Arabidopsis thaliana: one gene and its partners. The protein of the gene in region 1 interacts with the protein of each later gene in a pairwise test. Each region holds a gene or a part of one and is shown in the gene's direction. Other genes may lie near its edges.

Region 1 (6,000 bases):
CAATGTAGTGACTTGAACAGTGCCTTGTAAAAAGACTCCTTAAAATACCAAAAACGTATACTCCAGGAGCTTGGATTCTTGTATCTTTGTTGACTTCTGATTAAACGTCAGTAGACACTGAGAAAATAAAAAAAATTCTCGTAGAGCCGCCATTCAAAAGTTTCAAGAATTCCACAAGTCAAGTGTAAGCAAATAAGAAAAGTCACCGGTCAACATGAGACTACTAAATAATGATACTGCTACTGTCATCTATCGCCTGCCCCATCCATATAATACGATTTACTAAAAGCCTGCCATGTTTGATAATGCAACTTGTGTAGGGTATTTAGATGTTTTTTTGTAATACCATCAATGTGTGTTTAAAGAAAGGCCTCTTGTGTATCTGCACGACATCTCAAACAAAACCAATCAATAAAAACAAGAAACAATCTTCTTTCTCATGGACAGATCTCAAGAACACTATGCCAATGGTAAGAAGAAGCACCTGATAAAGTTAGATCCTTGAATTCATTTTTTCATGAGATATAATAAACATGAGTGTTAATTTTTCAGGTGACCAGAACTTAGAAGCAAACCTTATAGATCATGAGGTGGTAACTGAATCATCATCATCAGCTGTGCCTCAAACCGAGAACTATAAAAGGTGGCTTCGTGTCTCCATATACGTAATCTTTGTCCTCTTTTGCCAGCCACTAGCTACAATTCTGGGTAGATTGTACTATGAAAATGGAGGAAATAGCACATATGTGGTAACACTTCTTCAACTCATTGGCTTCCCTGTACTGGTTCTGTTCCGCTTCTTTTCTCGAATCAGGCAACCCAAATCAACAGATACAAATTTCAGTCAGTCCCCTTCCTTCACCACCCTTGCATCGGTTTACTTGTGCACTGGACTGCTAGTGTCCGCTTATGCTTATTTGTCTGCAGTAGGGTTGCTCTACTTACCAGTCTCTACTTTCTCCCTCATCTTGGCCTCACAGTTGGCCTTCACTGCCTTTTTCTCATATTTCCTTAACTCGCAAAAGTTCACTCCTTTGATAGTCAGTTCTTTGCTTCTCCTCACTGTATCCTCTGCTCTTCTTGTGGTCAACACTGATTCAGAAAACTCAACTAATGTATCTAGAGTACAGTATGTGATCGGGTTCATATGTACCATCGGTGCTTCCGCTGGGATTGGACTGTTACTATCTCTGATACAAATGCTCTTCAGGAAAGTTTTCACGAAGCATACATCCTCAGCAGTCACGGACTTGGCCATTTACCAGTCTCTAGTTGCGAGTTGTGTAGTTCTCATAGGACTTTTTGCAAGTGGAGAGTGGGAAACTTTGCCAAGTGAGATGAGAAACTACAAACTCGGGAAAGTGTCATATGTTTTGACTTTAGCCTCGGCAGCTATTTCCTGGCAAGTCTACACTCTTGGTCTTGTGGGATTGATCTTCGAGTCATCCTCTGTGTTCTCCAATTCCATAACAGCTGTGGGATTGCCTATAGTTCCAGTTGCGGCAGTGATAGTTTTCCATGATAGAATGGACGCATCAAAAATCTTCTCCATTATTTTAGCTATCTGCGGCTTCCTTTCATTCGTCTATCAGCACTACCTCGACGAAAAGAAGTTGAATACTAGCCACACAAGTGCTGTAGGAGATCTTCATCTACCTGTTGAGGAAGGTCACACAAACATACAAAGTGTGTGATCAAAGCATATTTCCAGTATAAAGCCAATGTATCTTTCTTTTTTTCCCCTCAAAGGCCAAAGCCAATGTATCTTTGTACAGTTTGAGCATAAAAAACGTGTAACGCTACTTTGCAAACTAGTCAGTCATAATAGCTAATAAGTTTTGTACATATGATACCAATAATTTCAGAATATTTTTCTTCTATATATACCAATAAGTTTTCTTAAAGATGCAAATGCAATACTCTGCTTTGTAATTTTGCAATGCATTTGAAACACCGAATCAAGAGCAAACAACGAAGTCAGAGAGACAAATAGGCTAAAACAGAGCTTTGAGCAAAAAAAAAAAACAAGTGAACAGATATAATACCCACTTACTTGGAAGCCACTGACATAACAGATAAACAATGTAGTGACTTGCAACAAAACTCCTTAAAATACCAAAAACGTATACTCTAGGAGCTTGGCTTCTTGTATCTTTGTTGACTTCTGATTTAACGTCAATAGACACTGAGGAAAAAGAGTTCTCTTAGAGCCGCCATTCAAAAGTTTTAAGAATTTTAAGTCAAGTGTAAGCAAATAAGAAAGGTCAATGGTCAGCATGAGACTACTAAATTATGATACTGCTGTCATCTATCACCTGACCCATCTTTATTATTATACACAAATTAGTAAAAGTCTGCCAAGTTTGATTAGTGCAACTTGTATCTGGGGTATTTAGTTACTATAATAAATATCATTTTGTGTATAAAGAAAGGTCTCTTCTGTATCTAAAAGACATATCAAACGAAAGAAATCAATAAACACAATATTCTTTCTTCCAAATTTTCTCATTTCTCATGGGCATATCTCAAGTACACTATTGCAATGGTAAGCAAAAGGTACCTGATGACGTTAGATCATTTGATCCTCTTTCGATGAAATATAATAACCACGAGTGTTAATTTTTCAGGTGACCAGAACTTAGAAGCAAACCTTCTAGATCATGAGGAAACTGAATCATTTTCAGTACCTCAAACGAAGAACTGTAAGAGGTGGCTCCGTGTCTCCATATACGCAATCTTTGTCATCTTCTGCCAACCACTTGCTACAGTTCTGGGTAGACTGTACTATGAAAATGGAGGGAAAAGCACATATGTGGTAACACTTCTTCAACTCATTGGCTTCCCTGTACTGATTCTCTTCCGCTTCTTTTCTCGAATCAGGCAACCCAAATCAACAGATACAAATTTCAGTCAGTCCCCTTCCTTCACCACCCTTGCATCGGTTTACTTGTGCACTGGACTGCTAGTGTCTGCTTATGCTTATTTGTCTGCAGTTGGGTTGCTTTACTTACCAGTCTCTACTTTCTCCCTCATCTTGGCCTCACAGTTGGCCTTCACTGCCTTTTTCTCATATTTCCTTAACTCGCAAAAGTTCACTCCTTTGATAGTCAATTCTTTGTTTCTCCTTACGGTTTCCTCTGCCCTCCTCGTGGTCAACACTGATTCAGAAAACACAACAAATGTATCTAGAGTACAATATGTGATTGGGTTCATCTGTACCATTGGTGCTTCCGCTGGGATTGGATTGGTACTATCTCTGATACAACTGCTCTTCAGGAAAGTTTTCACGAAGCATACATCCTCAGCAGTCCTGGACTTGGCCAATTACCAGTCTCTAGTTGCAACTTGTGTGGTACTCATAGGACTGTTTGCAAGTGGAGAGTGGAGAACTCTGCCAAGTGAGATGAGAAACTACAAACTGGGGAAAGTGTCATATATCTTGACTTTGGCCTCAGCAGCTATTTTCTGGCAAGTATACACTGTTGGTTGTGTGGGATTAATCTTCGAGTCTTCTTCTGTGTTCTCCAATTCCATAACTGCTGTGGGACTGCCTATAGTTCCAGTTGTAGCAGTGATAGTTTTCCATGATAAGATGGATGCATCAAAGATTTTCTCCATCATTTTAGCTATCTGGGGCTTCCTTTCATTTGTCTATCAGCACTACCTCGACGAAAAGAAGTTGAAGACTTGCCAGACAAAACCTGTTGAGGAAGAAACACAAACTTTATGAAACAAGTTGTATCGAAGGTCTCAGAAACAAACATACATAGTTGTACACAGTCATGTAAATAACCTATATAAAGCTTGTATGTGTAATATCCGTAATGGTCCATGCAAATGGGATATGTATGTCGCTCATATTTCAGGTATTTAGAACTTTTATTCAAAAGAGTATTGTGTAATACGAGCAGAGTGATAAAAGCAGTCATTTATTTAACAGAAAAACCATGTCAATTTTGTGATACTTTCATTGTGTGAGTGTGAAACCCGATAAAAATTGACCAGTTAGCATAACTTACAGATATGTCAATGCAATATTCTCCTTTCTAGTTTTGAAATGCACCTAAATCTTGGGAAACAAGAACAAACAGCAAATCATGTATAATGAGAGATAGAAGATAATTTGTCAGATTGGTCCAACATCCTTGGGGAAACAGAGCTTTGAACAAAAAGTAAATGACCAGAAATAATACCATTTTATATAGCGACTTCCTCTGCCGTCCAGTATTAAGTTGTTGCGAATGTCTTCTCTTGAAAAGATAGGCGAGACATAATCTTTAGCTAACGTCAGCATCATCTTGATGGCAAAAACTTCATGACTAGCCATGGAAACCGAAGTGTGTACCCAATCCAAATAAATTTAAAAAGACAAATAACTTTTAGAAATGTCGTCCTCATCAAGATCACAGAATACTACAACTTGTGTACACGTTCATACATATGCGTATGCGTGTTAAGTTTCTATTTGTCTATGCGTATGGGGTTCATGTCCTCCACATAGTTGCAGAAGAAAGTCTGAATGAATATTGCCTACACATAATTTCCTCCTAGACTTAACTCATCTCTTGGTCAACAATAGAGGCATCTTTGCATGTAGAAAGACTACAGATACTAAATTCATGGAAAGAGAAGAGATATGGTTGGCATTTACTGAATGTGGGGCCAAGAACAAAGAAAACTTAGACGGTGACCGATTCCTAATCCCAGAATATATAACTTAGCATATCTCACCCATATCAAAGGAGCAATCACTTGGTAGCATTATCAACCAAGAGAATTGATAATAAGATACGTTAGTTCCTCCTTGTCCATCTCCAAGGTGGTGATTCCACATCCACCATGACGGCGGATCAAGAACTACAAATCATTGGTGAGTAAGCATAAACCAGTTTGTGGTGAACGTCCTATTCTTTCATCTTCAAAAAAAAAAAAGATGGTTATGATATTTTATAATTCAATATATGAAACGATCGACAACAAATAAACTAATTTTTGCGTTATTTTCACTCACTTACCAGTTCGGCAGGGAAAAGAACCAAATCCAACAGTTCAAGATGAAAGAAATTCAGTCAGTAGCAGCCAAGCAGAAGTATCTCACTCTAACACATACAAACGGTGGCTCAGGGTGACTTTATATACATTCTTTGTCATTTCAGGCCAAACAGTTGCTACAATTTTGGGCAGAGTATACTATGACAACGGAGGAAACAGTAAATGGCTAGCAACGGTAGTTCAACTTGTTGGCTTTCCTGTGCTACTTCCATATTATATCTTGTCATTTAAAACACATGCAACAACTGATAGAGATGGAAAAAGAACCTCACCTAGGAACCGTGTATTGGTTTACGTAGTGCTTGGACTTCTTGTAGGAGCAGATTGCTATCTGTACTCCATTGGACTTCTTTACTTACCCGTTTCTACCTATTCCCTGATCTGTGCATCTCAGTTAGCCTTCAATGCTTTCTTCTCTTATTTTCTTAACTCACAAAAACTTACCCCTATCATTTTAAATTCTCTTTTCCTCCTAACTATATCTTCCACCCTACTTGCATTCAATAATGAGGAGACAGACTCCACAAAAGTTACAAAAGGAGAGTATGTCAAAGGTTTCATATGCACCGTTGCTGCGTCTGCTGGTTATGGTCTAGTCTTATCCCTACAACAGCTAGCCTTTCTAAAAGTCCTAAAGAAGCAAAATTTCTCAGAAGTTATGGATATGATAATCTACGTGAGTCTAGTGGCCAGTTGTGTTAGCGTGGTGGGGCTTTTTGCTAGCAGTGAGTGGAAAACTTTGAGCAGTGAAATGGATAACTACAAACATGGGAAGGTATCCTACATTATGAACCTAGTGTGGACAGCTGTTACCTGGCAGGTATTCTCCATCGGTGGCACAGGACTGATCTTCGAGCTCTCCTCTCTATTCTCAAATGCAATAAGCGTTTTGGGACTCCCAGTGGTTCCTATCTTGGCTGTAATCATTTTCCATGACAAAATGAATGG
Region 2 (7,609 bases), 7.8 Mb from region 1:
GGCTTGTCATCACTTGGATATTTCCTTTTCCTGCCGTCATTACATGTTGACCATTCCCCACTTTGATCGGTACCTTTACACTTTGATCAAGAGTGATGAAGTATTTAACTTCCTTGGTCATATGGTTAGTGCATCCGCTGTCAACTAGCCATGTCTCATCATTCACGTTTGATGATGTTTCTTCTTCGACTGCACTGAACAGCATGTGATCCTCATCATCATTTGTTTCTTCTAGACTTAGATCCACTCGCTCGGTCCTTCTAAGTCTGCAGTTCTTTGCTAGATGTCCCGGTTTGTTACACACGAAACATCTTCTCTCATTGTTCCCCACTTGTTGCGAAAGAACACCTTTGTTCTTCTTCATCCAGCAATCACTCTCATTGTGATTTTTACGTTCGCAAACGTCACACCATTTCCCAGCCTGCGTTTGACGCTTGTCTTCACGTTTGTTTTCTCCATAGAACGCTCCTTCCGTTGATCATTCGTCTCGCATCTCTACCCGCTTCTCGTGTGCTTTCAATGTGCCTATCAACTATGTTACGGACAACGAAGTCAGATCCTTCGTTTGCTTCATCATAGCCACTATGATGTCAAATCTTTTCGGAAGAGAAATTAGGATTTTTTGCACTATTTGATAGTCTGATTTCTCTTCTCCATGAACTCTCAGTTGATTTCCCATCTCAATCAACTTGGTCATGAAAGTGTTGATATTGTCACTTTCTTTCATCTTCAAATTCTCATACTCCCTTCTAAGAGATTGAAGCTTTATCATCCTGACTTGTGGTGATCCTTGAAATTCCAATACCAAGGCTTTCCAAGTGCGCTTGATGCAGGGGCGATTCTCGGAAATATGGAATCTGAGACGGCAGTTTGAAGAATTTGCAAAGCGGTTAGATCCTTTAAGGATGCTGCTTCACATCGTGTCTTTTGTTGCACTGCTTCAGGGCTATGATCTCCTTCTGCGGGTGGTTTTGGAACTCCTTCGTCAACAATTTCCCACAGTTTCTTTGTCTGGAAAATTGTTTTCATCTTGATGCGCCAAAAACCATAATTCTCTTTGTTGAAGATTGGAGTCACAATGTGTGACACCATCTCCATAACTCTCTCGTGTTTATTAAACTCTTTACTTGAAATGTTTGGCCCTTGAATCAGTAGGGCTCTGATACCATGTTGGAAATTGAAGCCTCTTGTTACAAAGAAAAAACAAGTGTTTACTTGTTGTTCTGTTTCTTATGAGATACACAAAGCAAAAGAGAAACTGACTTTTATTGAATGGAGAACTTGTTCGTTTCATCACGATACAAAAAGTTTAAATAGAAAACAAATAGACACAATAAGTAAAGAGTTGTGTCTCTTTCTCTCTAAGATAAACGACACAACCTAATCTAAAAGTCACGACTCTAACAAACACCTTTTAATACAACATAATTATAACTTATAGACCAAACTCAATTATAAACTAACAGATTTGATGCAGCTTCCTAATTTCCAACAGCTCCATGATGTTTATCAGCTCGTTGTTGTCAGAATCTGCATCTTCATAAATTTATAATAAATATAAATATATAATGTATAACTGTATGTAGAACCGTATATTGTGGATCCGTGAATTGGTGGAAGAGTTGCTATTGCGGAATCGTCCAAGAAGCTATTCATAAAATCAATCACGAAAGAAAAAGAATTTGTTTTGCTATTATCTCTATATTGTGGGTAGCCATTTTTGGAATCTTTGAAAAATCAACCAATACGCATTTTCTCTCAGTTTGGAAGTTAACAAAGACGCGTTTTTTCAAGGTTTTGTGGGGACTGGGGACCAAAAGTTCTTAATATGGGTTAACGTCTCACAGGTAATACCAAACATTTCATTTATTTGTGTTTTTCTATCACTATCTTTTCCACATTTTAGTATTTTACTATTACATATAATTTTTGACTAAGAAGTTGATTGTGAATGAGTCTGTACATCTTCCTAGAAATGATTATAAGTATATTATTTAATTTGTTACTCCCTCTATTGTCATTTATTTGTAGTTTAAGTTTCAAGGTTTTGGCACAAATGAAATTATTTCGTTTTTTATTATTATCTTTTAATATAGTTAATTATCTATTTAAAAACAATTCAACAAATTGAAAAAAAAGTTTTGTAGAATTTCTAAGAGTCAAAAATAATAAAATTTCCATTAAAAATTGAAAACAACAAATAAAATGAAACTATTTGTTTTTGCTTAAACAACACTTCTTAAAAAACAGAGGAACCATTGTAAAATAGATTTTTCCCAACACAAATCGAAAACGTAACTTATATAATCTCTATATTTTTAGTAATTCAGCGACTTATCATTTCATTGTTAACTATTTTTCACTGACATGTTTCTCGTTATATAAAAGTCTCTGTTTATGTCAATGGTCGTATGTGAATGGTTCATGTATTATGCAAAACTGTTTATGATAATATTGCCGGGGAAAAAAAACTGCCATGTTTCATTTTTTTACTAGTTATTACATTTGATTATTATCAACCAACTTACCATTGAAAGATAACTTGTGATTATTATTTACAGTAACGAAGAAAATTAGGCCATATTTTGTTTTCTTTTTGGAACCTTTCAAATGTCAAAGCTGGTAGGCTATATAAATATAAACAAAGCTCAAAAATTTATTACTATACTTAACAGTAACGAAGTAGACTACTTCAAGTAGTACATCAAAAAAAAAAAAACCAAAGAAGTTGTTATCTTTAACAAACAAAAATGGGAAAATGCTCTGCTTTGATGATATTCCTCTCTTCTTCTCTTCTACTTGTCCTTCAAACACTCCATGTTGTTAACGCGGTCAAATGTTTCGGAAACTCCTTCAACGGTAACAGCAGCACCTTCGCTCAGAATCGCCAGAAACTGTTCCCTACTCTTGCTGACAAAGTCATCATCAACGACGGATTCTACAACGCTTCACTCGGCCAAGATCCCGACAAAGTTTACGCTCTTGTCAGCTGCGCAAGAGGCTACGACCAAGACGCTTGTTACAATTGTGTCCAATCATTGACTCAGAACACACTAACAGATTGTCGAAGCCGTAGGGATTCGTTCATATGGGGAGGCAATGACGATGTAACTTGTCTTGTACGTTCCTCAAACCAGTCTACTTTTGGGAGCGTCCAGCTTAAACCTCCTGTTGTATGGCCAAGTCCAGATACTATAGAGTCATCTAAAAACATAACCCTTTTCAAACAACAGTGGGAAGAAATGGTTAATCGGACCCTAGAGGCTGCCACGAAAGCTGAAGGTTCCTCGGTGCTTAAGTACTATAAGGCCGAAAAAGCGGGTTTCACCGAGTTTCCAGATGTTTACATGCTGATGCAATGCACACCCGACTTAAGTTCACGAGATTGCAAGCAATGTTTGGGAGATTGCGTGATGTACTTTAGAAAAGACTATATGGGAAGAAAAGGAGGCATGGCTAGTCTTCCAAGCTGTTATTTCAGGTGGGATCTATATTCTTTCCATAATGCTTTTGATAATGTAACAAGAGTTCCTGCGCCTCCTCCTCGACCTCATGCTCAGGAAAAGGAGAGCTGCATAACAGTAAAAAAAGGTAACACAAATTATTTTAGCTTTCATTTAGAGCTCAAAAGAGCCAATTTTGAGGAATATTGTTTACATAAGTGACATGAAGCGGTTTGGTATGAACTTTTCGTGCCAAATTGTTATTATGATTAAGAGGTTAATTCTTAGACAAAGGGTTGGTAATTTGCAGGGAAAAGCATTGGGTATGGCGGAATTATCGCAATAGTTGTGGTGTTTACTTTCATTAATCTTTTGGTGTTTATTGGCTTTATCAAAGTCTATGCACGGAGGGGAAAATTAAATAATGGTAAGTGTAACTTGCTTCAATCAAGCTTATGATGTAGAGAGTAAGGCTTATGGATTTTTTGTTTTTTTAGTTGGTAGTGCAGAATACTCTGATTCTGATGGTCAATTCATGTTACGGTTTGATCTTGGTATGATCGTAATGGCAACTGATGACTTCTCCTCTGAAAATACGCTTGGCCAAGGTGGATTTGGTACGGTTTATAAGGTAATAATAAACTTTTTCCTTAATGATGAGTTCTTGATCAACATTGGTCTTTTATGAGTAAATAGATATCTTGAGAATGGGTTTCAGGGGACATTCCCAAACGGGCAAGAGGTAGCGGTCAAGAGACTAACAAAAGGATCAGGACAAGGAGATATGGAGTTTAAGAATGAGGTTTCACTCTTGACAAGACTCCAACATAAGAATCTTGTTAAGCTTCTTGGGTTCTGTAATGAGGGAGATGAAGAGATTCTTGTCTACGAGTTTGTCCCCAACTCAAGTCTTGATCACTTTATCTTTGGTGAGCCTTCGAAAGACAGCTGCCAAGTTGGATAGATTTAGAACTTTTAGCAAACTAAATGTTTCTTTGAACTCTGCAGATGAAGATAAGCGTTCTCTTCTTACATGGGAGGTGAGGTTCAGAATTATAGAAGGCATTGCTCGAGGTCTTCTCTATCTCCATGAAGATTCTCAGCTGAAGATTATTCACAGAGACTTGAAGGCAAGCAACATACTTTTAGACGCTGAGATGAACCCTAAAGTTGCGGATTTCGGGACTGCGAGGTTGTTCGACTCCGACGAGACTCGAGCTGAAACAAAAAGAATAGCTGGAACCCGGTAAGAAATATATCAATCAAATTTGATGACACATTTCAAATGCTCTGTTTTGAAAACAGAGTCCATGAATTAATGCTATTGGTTTGCATATATGCAGTGGATATATGGCTCCTGAGTACTTGAATCATGGACAAATCTCAGCTAAATCTGACGTTTATAGCTTCGGTGTTATGCTTCTAGAGATGATTAGTGGTGAAAGAAACAATAGCTTCGAAGGAGAAGGACTTGCAGCTTTTGTAAGCTTCTTCACAATTTTTTTTTTTTTTGAATAGCTGGAGGTTTTGGGCCGAAGCCCGTAATCCCCCCAGGACCGAAACCACAGCATGTAATATTAGTTTCGTTCCAAGCGTTACTCGAACCGGCGACCTTAAGCTTCTTCACATATCAGTTTTTGTTTTTCTATCTTCAAAACTTTATCCCGAAAGTAAGAACTTATGTTTTTGGTGTAGGCATGGAAAAGATGGGTTGAAGGAAAGCCTGAGATTATAATTGATCCGTTCTTAATAGAGAATCCAAGAAATGAGATCATCAAGTTGATCCAAATTGGTTTGTTGTGTGTTCAAGAGAATTCAACAAAGAGACCAACCATGAGCTCTGTAATAATTTGGCTTGGCAGTGAGACTATCATCATTCCTTTACCTAAAGCTCCTGCTTTCACTTGGATTCGATCCCAATCTGAAAGTGGTGCAATGTCATTGAGCGACGATGTCTTCACGGAGTTGAGTTGTCGTTGAGATATACATCAGTTAATCAAAATATTTGAATATTTTTTAATATCAAACTCCATTAATCTGCAAATTTGTTAGTAAATCGCATAATCTTGGATTCGAACTTTAGACTTCTTTGGTGTAAAGGCTTTATTAACTCTTGATTAACCTTTGGGCCAAGAGGGTTTTCGCGTCCAGTTTTGTTTTAAAACTATTTTCACCAATATTAATTAATATTATAGAGGTAAGAAATAAATAAACTTAAAATGTTGCACATATAAATATGATTTAATAATAACTGAAATATCTTATAAATCTCAATTAGGAGAAGATAATAAATCTTTTCTTAACAATCAGATAAAATATCAGTTCTTAATTTCAGTTACTTTATTCTGATATATCTTACTCTAAATAGAATTATAAAGAAGTTTTTTTCTTTCTTTTTGTTAAAACAAATATTATAATATAACAATTGTTTTTAAGTATTTTCACATTAATTCCCAAAACAAAATATATCACGTACCTAATATAGTTCTCCCTAATATATTTCTTCTAAATGACCAATAAATTTCAAAGTTGATTTTAATTTTACATGACCAATAGAGTGAGGATAAAAAATCTTTTCTGACCAATCAAATTCCTGATTTTAGCCACTCTACTTGATTCTTATCTTAGTATGAACATATATATAAGGAAGTTTTTTTTTTGTTGTTGAAAATATAATATAAGGAATTTTCCTTGATATTTTCAGAATTCCCAAATAAGAGTATATCTATGTACCTAATATAGTTCTTTCTAATATATTTTTCTAAATATATACCTAAACAAAATCTAGTGCAGCCGAATATTGTCAAAGACTCAAAGTTGCTTTCAATTTTGTAATAGAAATATTTTATATAAATAATATTTCCCCCAAATAGCATGGATGCAAAATCACATAATAGCATTATAAATAGAATACCATAAAATATTGTTCAGTTTTTATTTTTCTTATCCCATTATATATATGAGATAAGCATTACATAAAATAGAGAGCAAGCATAAAAAAAAAGATAGAAACCAAACTCCTCTTAGTACTTGCGACCAAGAGTGAGTTCAAGGGACAATTCTTCTTCACCAGTTGCACCACCAACAACAACAACATCATTGCCTCTGTTTTCATTTAGTCCAACCTGCCATAAAATATACATTAATCTAGTTTCATAGGCATCAAATCAACATGTTGATAATCATGCATGATATTTAGTAATATAAAAATTACAAAAGGAAAAAAAAATTACCTTTGAAGATTGATCTAGAGACTTGTTACTTGATCCCAAAACTGGGGTTATCTTCTCAGTATTATCCAGTTGTAGCCTAGAAGAAATTGAAAAAGAAGATTGTTTTACTCACGAAACCAAAAAACGATTAATTATATGAAAAACTAAGTTGATACATGAACATAAGAACCTTTGTTGATTTTGGATAAATTGGGTAGCACGTTCATAGATTTGAAGATATTGCTGAGATTGCCTCTGTGTCATCTCCCGCATCATTTTTATTTCTGTCAAAGGATTGGAGGTGCATAATTATGAATAAACGGATATAAACTTCACTATGCATTATGTTGAAAATCTAAATATTCCTTATGCAAAGTTACACGACAAACATATTTATTAAAATTTAATTTAAAATGTAAGATAGTTATTTTACCTTTACTAGATTCTTCTTTCTTTTTGTTCCTATACATCTATTGAAAGTAAAAAAATAAAAAATAATTCAGTACTTGCCATCTTAGATAGTATATGTTTTGTAGATAAGTTTTATACACTATATAATTATAAAGACCTGGAGATGACTTTTGACATGTGATATTGTGAGGTCTCTCACACCCATAAGACTCAAAATTCTCTTAGGAGTTGCACCTGCAAATTTAAGGAGAACAATAATATCGACTATAGTGAATTAATCTAAAAAAGGATATAAAGAGAACATTAATCATGGAAAGGTCTTAAAAGGAAAAAAAAGATTGTTGATTTCAATGACAATTTTTTTTTCTTTGAATTTATTTCAGAAGAATCGTCTTGTTATAGTTTTGCGATATGGAAAGAAAACCGCTTACTCTCTTCGCCACCGAGTTTTTCAATAACTTGAATAAAACGGATATCAAGATCGTCGGTCCAGTGCATTCGCGGATTGTCTGACCTAATGTAAGATCTAACCATCGGATCTTG
Region 3 (8,909 bases), on another chromosome or scaffold:
TATGCTCTCCGTTATCATCTCACTGCTTTCAGAAACTGTAACTCAAAAAGGAACACTTTTACACTAATATCCCTTTTCTCTGGTGAGAGCTTTTTGTGTGATAACTGAAACATCAGTCGGTATATAGACTCTGTTTGTAGATTTGGGTCTCAATATCTTTAATAGTCACTGAAAAACCAGTAGCATTGCATCACCTCATACCATAATTATAATAAATATATATAAGACAAAATATCCATTAGGTACTTTTCATCGCATGATAAAGAAAAGAAAGACACTCTGTGAACATATACGTATGAACTCGTCTCTCTCATGTGCCCGAAACTCCTTACAACCTTTATTTGACAGTTAAAAAACACGGTCACAGAAGTTTCAGCATTTTCAGTCTTCCTTCGTGCTCTGCATCCAGCTTCGGGGGAGTGTAACTTCCGTGAAGATCCTCCACAATGTACTCCTTTGTGAGCTCTCGCTTGGTGAGAATATGGTAATGTCTCTGCCATATCCTTTGGATAGCCATAGTTGCAGCAAGAAACCCATACGCTAAACCAAGAATGGCAAAGATGACGACAAAAACAACAACAAGAGCGAAACAAGCTTCCATTGAAGCAGGGAAACAATCCAAGACACCCCATCCATAACAGCAGTTCTGGCATCCAGCCATCCTCGGGTCATTACCGTTGAGAGCAGAGCAATGTAGAATGATTCCAAGAAATCCAGTCAGCACAAAGAAGGATATAACCCCTAAGAATTCATGACACACCAAATGTTCAAACGCGTGTAAGGCTTCTAGATCCGTGGTATTTGAAAGGTATACTAGTTACGCAATAAAAGGGAGATGAAAGATTCAGTAAATACCAATGCAGTAATAAAACGGGATGGGATGTTTCGACAAAATACGATCCCAATCATCGTTGAAAGAGTTGCGAAACTCTCCGTCTTTGTCCATCATATATGCGAATCCGGCCATCACAGCGATAACCTAGAGTTTCAACAATCTTCTTATTATCAGACGTCAAAAAGATTCAGACAATCTCTATGAAAAACAAGCTTCAAAAATGGCAAGTCACAGTGAGCAAAATGAACAATTTGATAGTCATCAACTTCCATTGTCAATTTCAAGCACCCACCATGTGTACGCAGTAACCAGGTCAAGATTCGAATCTAGTTCACTTTGTGAGCCAGATTATGACATCATATAAAATTTATCCTCAGAATCTCTTAATAAATGCTTTATAATCCTCACGAAAACTATGAAGAGAAGCTGAGAGAGAGAGATACTCACAGTCTGCACAGCTAAGAAAACCAAAAGCACATCTCTTGCGACAAAGAGTCTGAATTTAGCTTTTCTACGCCACGAATTGTTATCCTCAAAGGGTTCGACTCTCAGATGAAACTGTGCTTTGCAAGTAGTACAGTGAGAGAAAGCAAAACCTTCTTTAACCGATCGCCAATGATCGAGACATGAGCGATGCACGAATTGTTGAGTGCCTTTACACATACAAGGTGAAATCAATTCATCGCCTAACAATTCACTATCGTCCTCCAAACAAATACGACAACAAGGAGCTGAAGAAGCATCGTTCTCTAAATCTTCTTCAGCCTTTATCTCATCGCTATTTCCTGCCACCACAGACGCAGCAGAAGGAGACGCCGAAGAAGAATTGGTGTGATCTCCTAACAAAGGAGCGGAATCACTTAGTTTCTGTGAATCCGGTGGCTGCAATTGTACTTCACCTTGCATCATTGATCCAAACCTTCGCTAACCCTAAATTTCAGACAAGAAATCTGTGGGTGGAAATCAATCGGTGTGATTAGAGGACTAATGATTCGAATCGAGTCAAATACATTAGCGTCTCTGTGTTCGTTGATCGGCTAGAGAATAATCGTGCGGGGATGTGAGAAGATTATTTACAGAAGTGGGAGAGAGGCAAAACATAAAACTGGAGAAGAAGGGTCAATGCGAGAGAGAAACGAAAGCTTCTTTATTTTGGGAATTGAAAATTACAGAGAAAAAGGGAAATGGGGTGAGAGAGGCTCGAACTCTCGACCTCAGGATCACTCAATAGCTATGAGACCTACGCGCTAGCCAACTGCGCCACCACCCCAATGTTGGGAATTTGTACACGTGTTAATTTATTATATCATATTCATTTATTCTCCTGGCAAAACAGTGACCGGTCCACCACAAATTGCCAAATCCTAGTATCATTAGTCAAAGCTTTGATGTACTCGTAAACTTCTAATATTAACCGCCATTTATCAGTAAAATCGGTTGAGTTGTTGCTGCTAGATTATGATTAGTAGATTGCTGCTATAAATTCGGTTTACAAAAATTGTATGAAATGGCGTAATTTTGGTTTTTGTATCTGATTATTGTTCATTTAATTCGGACAGTGATTGAATCTCTCTCCTAATTTCAATGATACGTAAACCGATTGAGATATCATCAACCCGGCTTTGTTATTATCGACTAATGGTTGTACCGGTCGGTAAAGTCCGGCTATTAAATTGCATTATTAAATTTAGGTTCTTTAACGACATTTAGGGGGAAGCACATGAATGCTGCAATAAATGAAAGAAGCAATTGAATAAAGAAAGAGAAGAGAGAAGACCGTTGGAGAAGACGAGGAAGCAACCATGTGCTTTGGTTTCTACTTGGTACAGCATTCCATGAGCTTTTTTCTTCTCTTTGACTAGTATATTTTATTGTAGAAAATTAAATGGAGGAAAAAGCTAAACTTTCTTAATCACAGATGCAGATTGATTCTCCATTTTTCTCGGGAGAAAAGTTCCTCGCCGGAGATGGAGCATATGATGAAAGAAGGAAGGTCTCTTGCAGAGACGCCGACTTACTCTGTTGCTTCGGTTGTTACTGTTTTGGTCTTTGTTTGCTTTCTCGTTGAACGCGCCATTTACAGATTTGGAAAGGTGTGTTTTTGTTTTGTATTTTTTCTTCGTGTGTGTGCCTACTATATGTTTGTTGAAATGCTCAGCTCAAAAGAATGAGTGTGAAGAACGTATTATGATTTTTTTTTTTTTTCTGCACACTTGCCACTTGGGTTAACTCTTGCTCTCCATGATTCATGAGCTGGAAATGTTTTATCTAATAATGGGTGCTAGAAAGTGAGAATTTTTATGGACGAGATGTTTCTTCTTGGAGATATGTGTTTATGCTTGCTAAATGTCAGTAGAAGTAGTGTTGATGTTTTCACTCTAAGAGAAGTCATTATTACAGGATGTGTCTTTCATGTTAGATATATATGAGGAGCTAATTTCATGTTCTGTTTTGTTTTCAGTGGTTAAAGAAGACTAGAAGAAAGGCACTTTTTACTTCACTTGAGAAAATGAAAGAGGGTATGTCAAATAAACCTGTGCTGATGTTGTGGTGCTTTATACTTTCTTTCTTTTTCGTTTGATTTTGACTTGTTAAACTTTCTTGGTAGAGTTGATGTTGCTGGGACTTATATCACTTCTGTTGTCACAAAGCGCGAGATGGATTTCAGAAATCTGTGTTAACTCTTCCCTTTTCAATAGTAAATTCTACATTTGCTCTGAAGAGGACTATGGAATCCATAAGAAAGTTCTTCTGGAACACACCTCTTCTACAAACCAGAGCTCCTTACCTCATCATGGAATACATGAAGCCTCTCATCAATGTGGTCATGTAAATATTTACTTTTTCTATCGACTTAAGAGCCTATTTTCCTTTTGACTTTTAATTATATTACTGAACTGGATGTTGGATCCAATGCCAGGGCCGTGAACCATTTGTGTCGTATGAGGGACTCGAGCAACTCCTAAGATTCTTATTCGTCCTGGGTATCACTCATGTTCTATACAGTGGCATTGCCATTGGTTTAGCCATGAGCAAGGTACACATCCTAGCTCCTAAATCTACATATGAGTGTTAAATTTGTATTCTTAAGTATTTCTATGTTGCTCCGAAAGGAAGAGATGTATTATACTTGCAATCAACTTTATCCTCATGTCTAGAGGATGTAGAGAACCTCATGATCAAATAATTAGTGGTCCTAAGTATATGTCAAATAGAAATTATCTTCAATCTGAAAATTGAGGGAAAACCTTCGATATTATCATTTATGTGCATAGAGTGTTAGTAAGATTAAGCAGACGAACATATCAATACCATCTGAAACAGTGTTGTCTTTTTATCACGTAACACAGATTTACAGTTGGAGAAAATGGGAAGCCCAAGCGATCATAATGGCTGAATCAGATATCCACGGTAAATGACAAGACTTTTCTGTCTCTCCTTCAAATTAAGGCTTGTATGTTTTTGATGGGTCTCATCTTGAGGGCACATGAGGAACTGTGTTATCTTAGGATTAAGAACAGCATGAAACTAGGATTCTGTTAAGTATTTAGGTTGTTCATTCATGAACTCACTTAAGCTGTGGAGAGGCTTTTATGCAGATTTGCAAATTTCGCTTCATCTTGACTAGCAGATCAAATCCAGTATAATCACTTATAAATACTGATATAGGAAAAATTCCTTTCTGTCCTAGTATAATCACTTATACAGGATTGAAATGAACTGTGTGGAAAAGAGATGTATCTCTGTAATTTTAGCTTTATCACAAACAGCTGATTCATTGTTAAAGATACTTAATGCCTAGGATGCTTTAGTTTCCAGTCATATATACCCTAGTCTTCTTGACTTTGTTCAACAGCAAAGAAGACCAAGGTGATGAAGCGTCAGTCTACATTTGTTTTCCATCATGCCTCTCATCCTTGGAGTAACAATCGTTTTCTCATTTGGATGGTAACTCCCCATGCTTTTACCTTAAGCTGTAATTTTTTAAAAATTTCATATCTCTAGTTAAGAACACTGTTATATTTTTCTCCAGAAGCTATTTTTACGGCATTTGTCCAGCAATAAAATATATGTTTGCATTGCAGCTTTGTTTCCTGCGGCAATTTAGAGGCTCCATACGAAAGTCTGACTACTTCGCACTTCGGTTAGGTTTCCTCACTGTGAGTAACTTTTTTATTTCGTTTCTCAGTCTTTCCTTCAAATTTAAAATATAACTTTCTAGTAATTTCTCAAGAATTCTCATCTAATCTGGTAGCTGACATGATTAGTTTTCTGAATCCGGTCTTCATTACTTTAAAATTTCAGAAACATAATTTGCCATTTACATACAACTTCCATATGTATATGGTACGGACGATGGAAGATGAGTTTCATGGCATTGTTGGAATTAGGTATGCGTTTCTGAGAATTGAGATCTTATCAAAGACTCTTTATTCAACTGTTTTCAGAAGATTTCGTAAGGGAGTTACAGAATGGGACTGATGAATGTTTCTTGATGAATCAACAGCTGGCCACTTTGGGTTTACGCTATAGTATGCATCTGCATAAATGTTCATGGTAACTTATCGGTTCAATAAATACAAACTACATTCCATTTCTATCTCCACATTAAAGCTTTGTCTTTACTAATTCAGTGATTTCCTTGCAGGCCTGAATATGTACTTTTGGATATCATTCGTTCCTGCCATTGTAAGTAAAAGCAAGATTAAGTAAAAAGCTTGAAATTCATAAGGCAGTACTAACACTCAGAGCATGTGTTTGTATCTGTTTTGTTGTCTAAGCTTGTCATGTTGGTTGGAACCAAACTTGAGCATGTTGTCTCCAAGCTTGCTCTCGAGGTTAAGGAGCAGCAGACAGGCACATCTAATGGGGCTCAAGTCAAACCACGTGATGGGCTCTTCTGGTTTGGGAAACCAGAAATTCTGCTACGGTTGATACAATTTATCATTTTTCAGGTAAGCAAAAAGACTTTTCCTTTCTCAATTCTTCAAGCCATGATATTACTCTATTCACACAGATGATCCTTATATATTTCCTGCTAATGCAGAATGCATTTGAAATGGCAACATTCATCTGGTTCTTGGTAAGGCCACCTTATAAAATGCATCAATACTTAAATCAGCTATGCAAAGTTTTTCAGTTTTTGAGAAGATCATCAATTTCATGTATCAGTGGGGAATCAAGGAAAGATCTTGCTTCATGAAGAACCATGTGATGATATCAAGCCGGCTAATTTCTGGGTGCGTTTCAAATACACAACAATTCGCAGCAACACACTGTCTCTTAAGATTTTTTTTTTCTTTCTGGTGAATGCAGGGTTCTCGTTCAGTTCTGGTGTAGTTATGGCACTGTGCCTCTCAATGTAATCGTTACTCAGGTTCGTCAAAACCTTTCATATATCTACAATTCCACAATCTTAAGCCTATCCAAGTCTGTGACTAAACATCGTTCATAAAAACTCTATGGTTTCACCTGAATCTGAACAGATGGGATCTCGGCATAAGAAAGCTGTGATAGCAGAGAGCGTAAGAGACTCACTTCACAGTTGGTGCAAGAGAGTGAAAGAGAGGTCTAAGCACACGAGATCAGTGTGTTCCCTTGACACAGCAACAATAGACGAGAGAGACGAGATGACAGTGGGGACATTGTCTAGGAGCTCATCGATGACTTCACTGAATCAGATTACCATAAACTCCATAGACCAAGCAGAGTCTATATTCGGAGCAGCAGCTTCATCCAGCAGTCCTCAAGATGGATACACGTCGAGGGTGGAAGAATATCTGTCTGAAACATACAATAACATCGGTTCGATACCGCCTTTAAACGATGAGATTGAGATTGAGATTGAAGGTGAAGAAGATAATGGAGGGAGAGGAAGTGGGAGTGATGAGAATAACGGTGATGCTGGAGAAACACTTCTTGAGTTGTTTAGGAGGACTTGATCTTGTTTCTGCTTTTAGAAGCTTGGTTCAGTTGTAATTACTTGACATCCATACAAGAATAACAATTAACAAAGTAAATCTTTTGTTGGTCCAGTAAAAAAAAGTATTCAATGATCAAAGTACATCTTTTGTTGGTTCAGAGGTAAATTTAAAATATAATAGCATGGATTGGAACGAGATATTATGGCATTAGGAAACTTTTTGATTATGGCAGTATAAACAAAGACCACAAATTATGGCAGCTATACATATATTGATTTCAAAACAGAGATAAAGACTTGTCACCTGTCATTTGATTATTTATGAATTTACCTCTGCAGCATTTTCCTTCTTCTGTGCAGTCACGCCTACCGATGGATTTGATTAATTTCCTGTCGATTATTACTAAGTTGTATTTCTAGTAAATACAACTTAAAAGTAGTTTTGTACTCGGTCTTAAAACTAGTTTTGTACATAGTTTTTGAGTAAGATACTTTGTTTTTTTTGGGACAAAGAGTAAGTTAGTAATATCAAATTTTATCATAGTGATTGTTAATTTATGTCAACTACGAAATTAAGAAGTTATCAAATCTGATTTGAGTTATGATAACAATGTCATTGATAGACTCGGTCAATTATGGCATTAAGAAAATCTAAGGATTTAAGTAACCAGGTATCAATTATTACCGCCGTTGGTATTGACTTTTAAATAAGACTTGCCAGTTGTCACACACATGTCATAAACAATTGTTTTTTTCTTCTTCTTTTCATTCAAATGATAAAATTAAACTTGCACTATACAGTTTCTATAGAATCATCCATCACTAGATCTGGTCTGGCGATCCCCAAAAGATCAAGTCAAAAATGAATAACAGAGAAATGAAACATGGTAAAAAAAAAGACGAGAAGATGCCGGTTTTAGTGATGCCAGGTTTCATAGCCGGAGCAACATTTCTGGTTATTTGGATCATACGACGTGAGTTCCTTTTATCTTACTTTTGGTGTAACATAGATTTCCTTGCTTCTGTTTATCTTTTGAATAATCCATATATAGGCTATAGAAAGGGCTCCACCAAAACTAACTCGCCGCCACCATCCGCGCTTCCAAAGGCTCGAGAATGTGGTCCTGTGGCGTCCACTAAACCTAACTTAACACCTGCGCCGCCGCTAGGTCAGCCACGGCTATACGCTCAAGAATCTCAACAGTACAGTCTTGTGGCGTCCAATGAACCTGACTTGACACCTGCGCTGCTAGGCCCGCCACCGCTATACGCTCAACAGTCTCAACAGTTTAGTACTATTGTGGTGTCCAGTGAAACCGACATACCCCAGCTTCTGGTTCAATGTTGTCCGCCAGATGGAGACCGTGGATTAACAAATCAATACTATGCGGGACAAGAGTTCGACTTAGGAGGACACGACAAGGACAGCGATTCCGATTAAGAGTAGAGTACTTTTTTAAACAACTTTTGATTATGAATTTACCTCATCCACCATTTTTCTTCTCTTTATCTTGTGTGCACCGGCATCTTTAGACTATAATATATGTCGTAAGAAGAAGAAGAAGATTATAATTGGTTGATTTCAGTTATTTTATTATCAAAAAGGAAAGAGAGGATAATGTAATGTTGTAATCTTATATATATATATCCGAATCAGGGCGTCATTTCAGTTTACTAAATCATTTTTATTTATCTAATTTATGAACCATAGATGCGTTAAAACGTCTACTTAACCTTTTGTAAACTTGAGTGAATTGATGAATGGAGTAAAATTTCAAGTTTCATCGCATTCGTTTGTGTTATTAAGTTTTGTGCTGAGAGCAAATCTTCTTTTAGCCAAACAATGGGTGTTGTGGATTTCTAGACTTGATTTTATTTTCTAGCAAACTAAATAAAGTTTTGGGCCCAATGGGCCTGACTCATTGAACAACAAACTAGCCGTTGGTCCGTGTTTGTGCATAGCTCGGAGACGAGAGGTTGTACGTGTACGGAAAGTAACAGTACGGAGATTAGTCATGAAAAACAATAAACATGGTGCTTTTATGTTTTATATACTCCAAAAAGGGGTCTGCGTGACAGTGAGATAGACAGAGAGAGAAGAAAAAGAAGCGAGTGAGCAAAGTTTCTCAAAAATGACGAATCTGTTTCTAG

The links. Proteins that work in one complex are often made in the same cells at the same time.
Region 2: the proteins of AT4G18205 (region 1) and CRK40 interact in a protein complementation assay, tested with the Arabidopsis thaliana proteins (one large-scale study listed by BioGRID).
Region 3: the proteins of AT4G18205 (region 1) and MLO4 interact in a protein complementation assay, tested with the Arabidopsis thaliana proteins (one large-scale study listed by BioGRID).

Annotation. Positions count from the first base shown.
Region 1 is NC_003075.7:10,071,336-10,077,335, forward strand, and holds AT4G18205 (Nucleotide-sugar transporter family protein), read left to right. Parts: upstream 1-2,375; 5' UTR 2,376-2,514; coding exon 2,515-2,545; intron 2,546-2,627; coding exon 2,628-3,730; 3' UTR 3,731-4,035; downstream 4,036-6,000. Other genes in the region: PUP7 (purine permease 7), read left to right, coding at 440-470, 553-1,694; AT4G18203 (uncharacterized protein), read right to left, coding at 1,409-1,585, 2,117-2,164, 2,316-2,324; PUP10 (purine permease 10), read left to right, coding at 4,840-4,870, 5,019-6,000.
Region 2 is NC_003075.7:2,287,295-2,294,903, forward strand, and holds CRK40 (cysteine-rich RLK (RECEPTOR-like protein kinase) 40), read left to right. Parts: upstream 1-2,607; 5' UTR 2,608-2,750; coding exon 2,751-3,591; intron 3,592-3,753; coding exon 3,754-3,870; intron 3,871-3,940; coding exon 3,941-4,074; intron 4,075-4,161; coding exon 4,162-4,372; intron 4,373-4,451; coding exon 4,452-4,689; intron 4,690-4,786; coding exon 4,787-4,925; coding exon of another isoform or gene 4,926-4,961; exon of another isoform or gene 4,962-5,138; coding exon 5,139-5,423; 3' UTR 5,424-5,656; downstream 5,657-7,609. Other genes in the region: AT4G04580 (Homeodomain-like superfamily protein), read right to left, coding at 6,467-6,568, 6,677-6,752, 6,846-6,939, 7,089-7,125, 7,224-7,300, 7,498-7,609.
Region 3 is NC_003070.9:3,669,803-3,678,711, reverse strand, and holds MLO4 (Seven transmembrane MLO family protein), read left to right. Parts: upstream 1-2,578; 5' UTR 2,579-2,658; exon of another isoform or gene 2,659-2,753; 5' UTR 2,754-2,802; coding exon 2,803-2,928; intron 2,929-3,296; coding exon 3,297-3,354; intron 3,355-3,443; coding exon 3,444-3,664; intron 3,665-3,755; coding exon 3,756-3,872; intron 3,873-4,185; coding exon 4,186-4,246; intron 4,247-4,691; coding exon 4,692-4,783; intron 4,784-4,920; coding exon 4,921-4,995; intron 4,996-5,140; coding exon 5,141-5,226; intron 5,227-5,342; coding exon 5,343-5,392; intron 5,393-5,483; coding exon 5,484-5,524; intron 5,525-5,616; coding exon 5,617-5,790; intron 5,791-5,882; coding exon 5,883-5,918; intron 5,919-6,007; coding exon 6,008-6,075; coding exon of another isoform or gene 6,076-6,145; exon of another isoform or gene 6,146-6,151; coding exon 6,152-6,212; intron 6,213-6,321; coding exon 6,322-6,777; 3' UTR 6,778-6,956; downstream 6,957-8,909. Other genes in the region: AT1G11020 (RING/FYVE/PHD zinc finger superfamily protein), read right to left, coding at 362-741, 856-979, 1,283-1,744; AT1G10990 (uncharacterized protein), read left to right, coding at 7,621-8,199; AT1G10980 (Lung seven transmembrane receptor family protein), read left to right, coding at 8,891-8,909.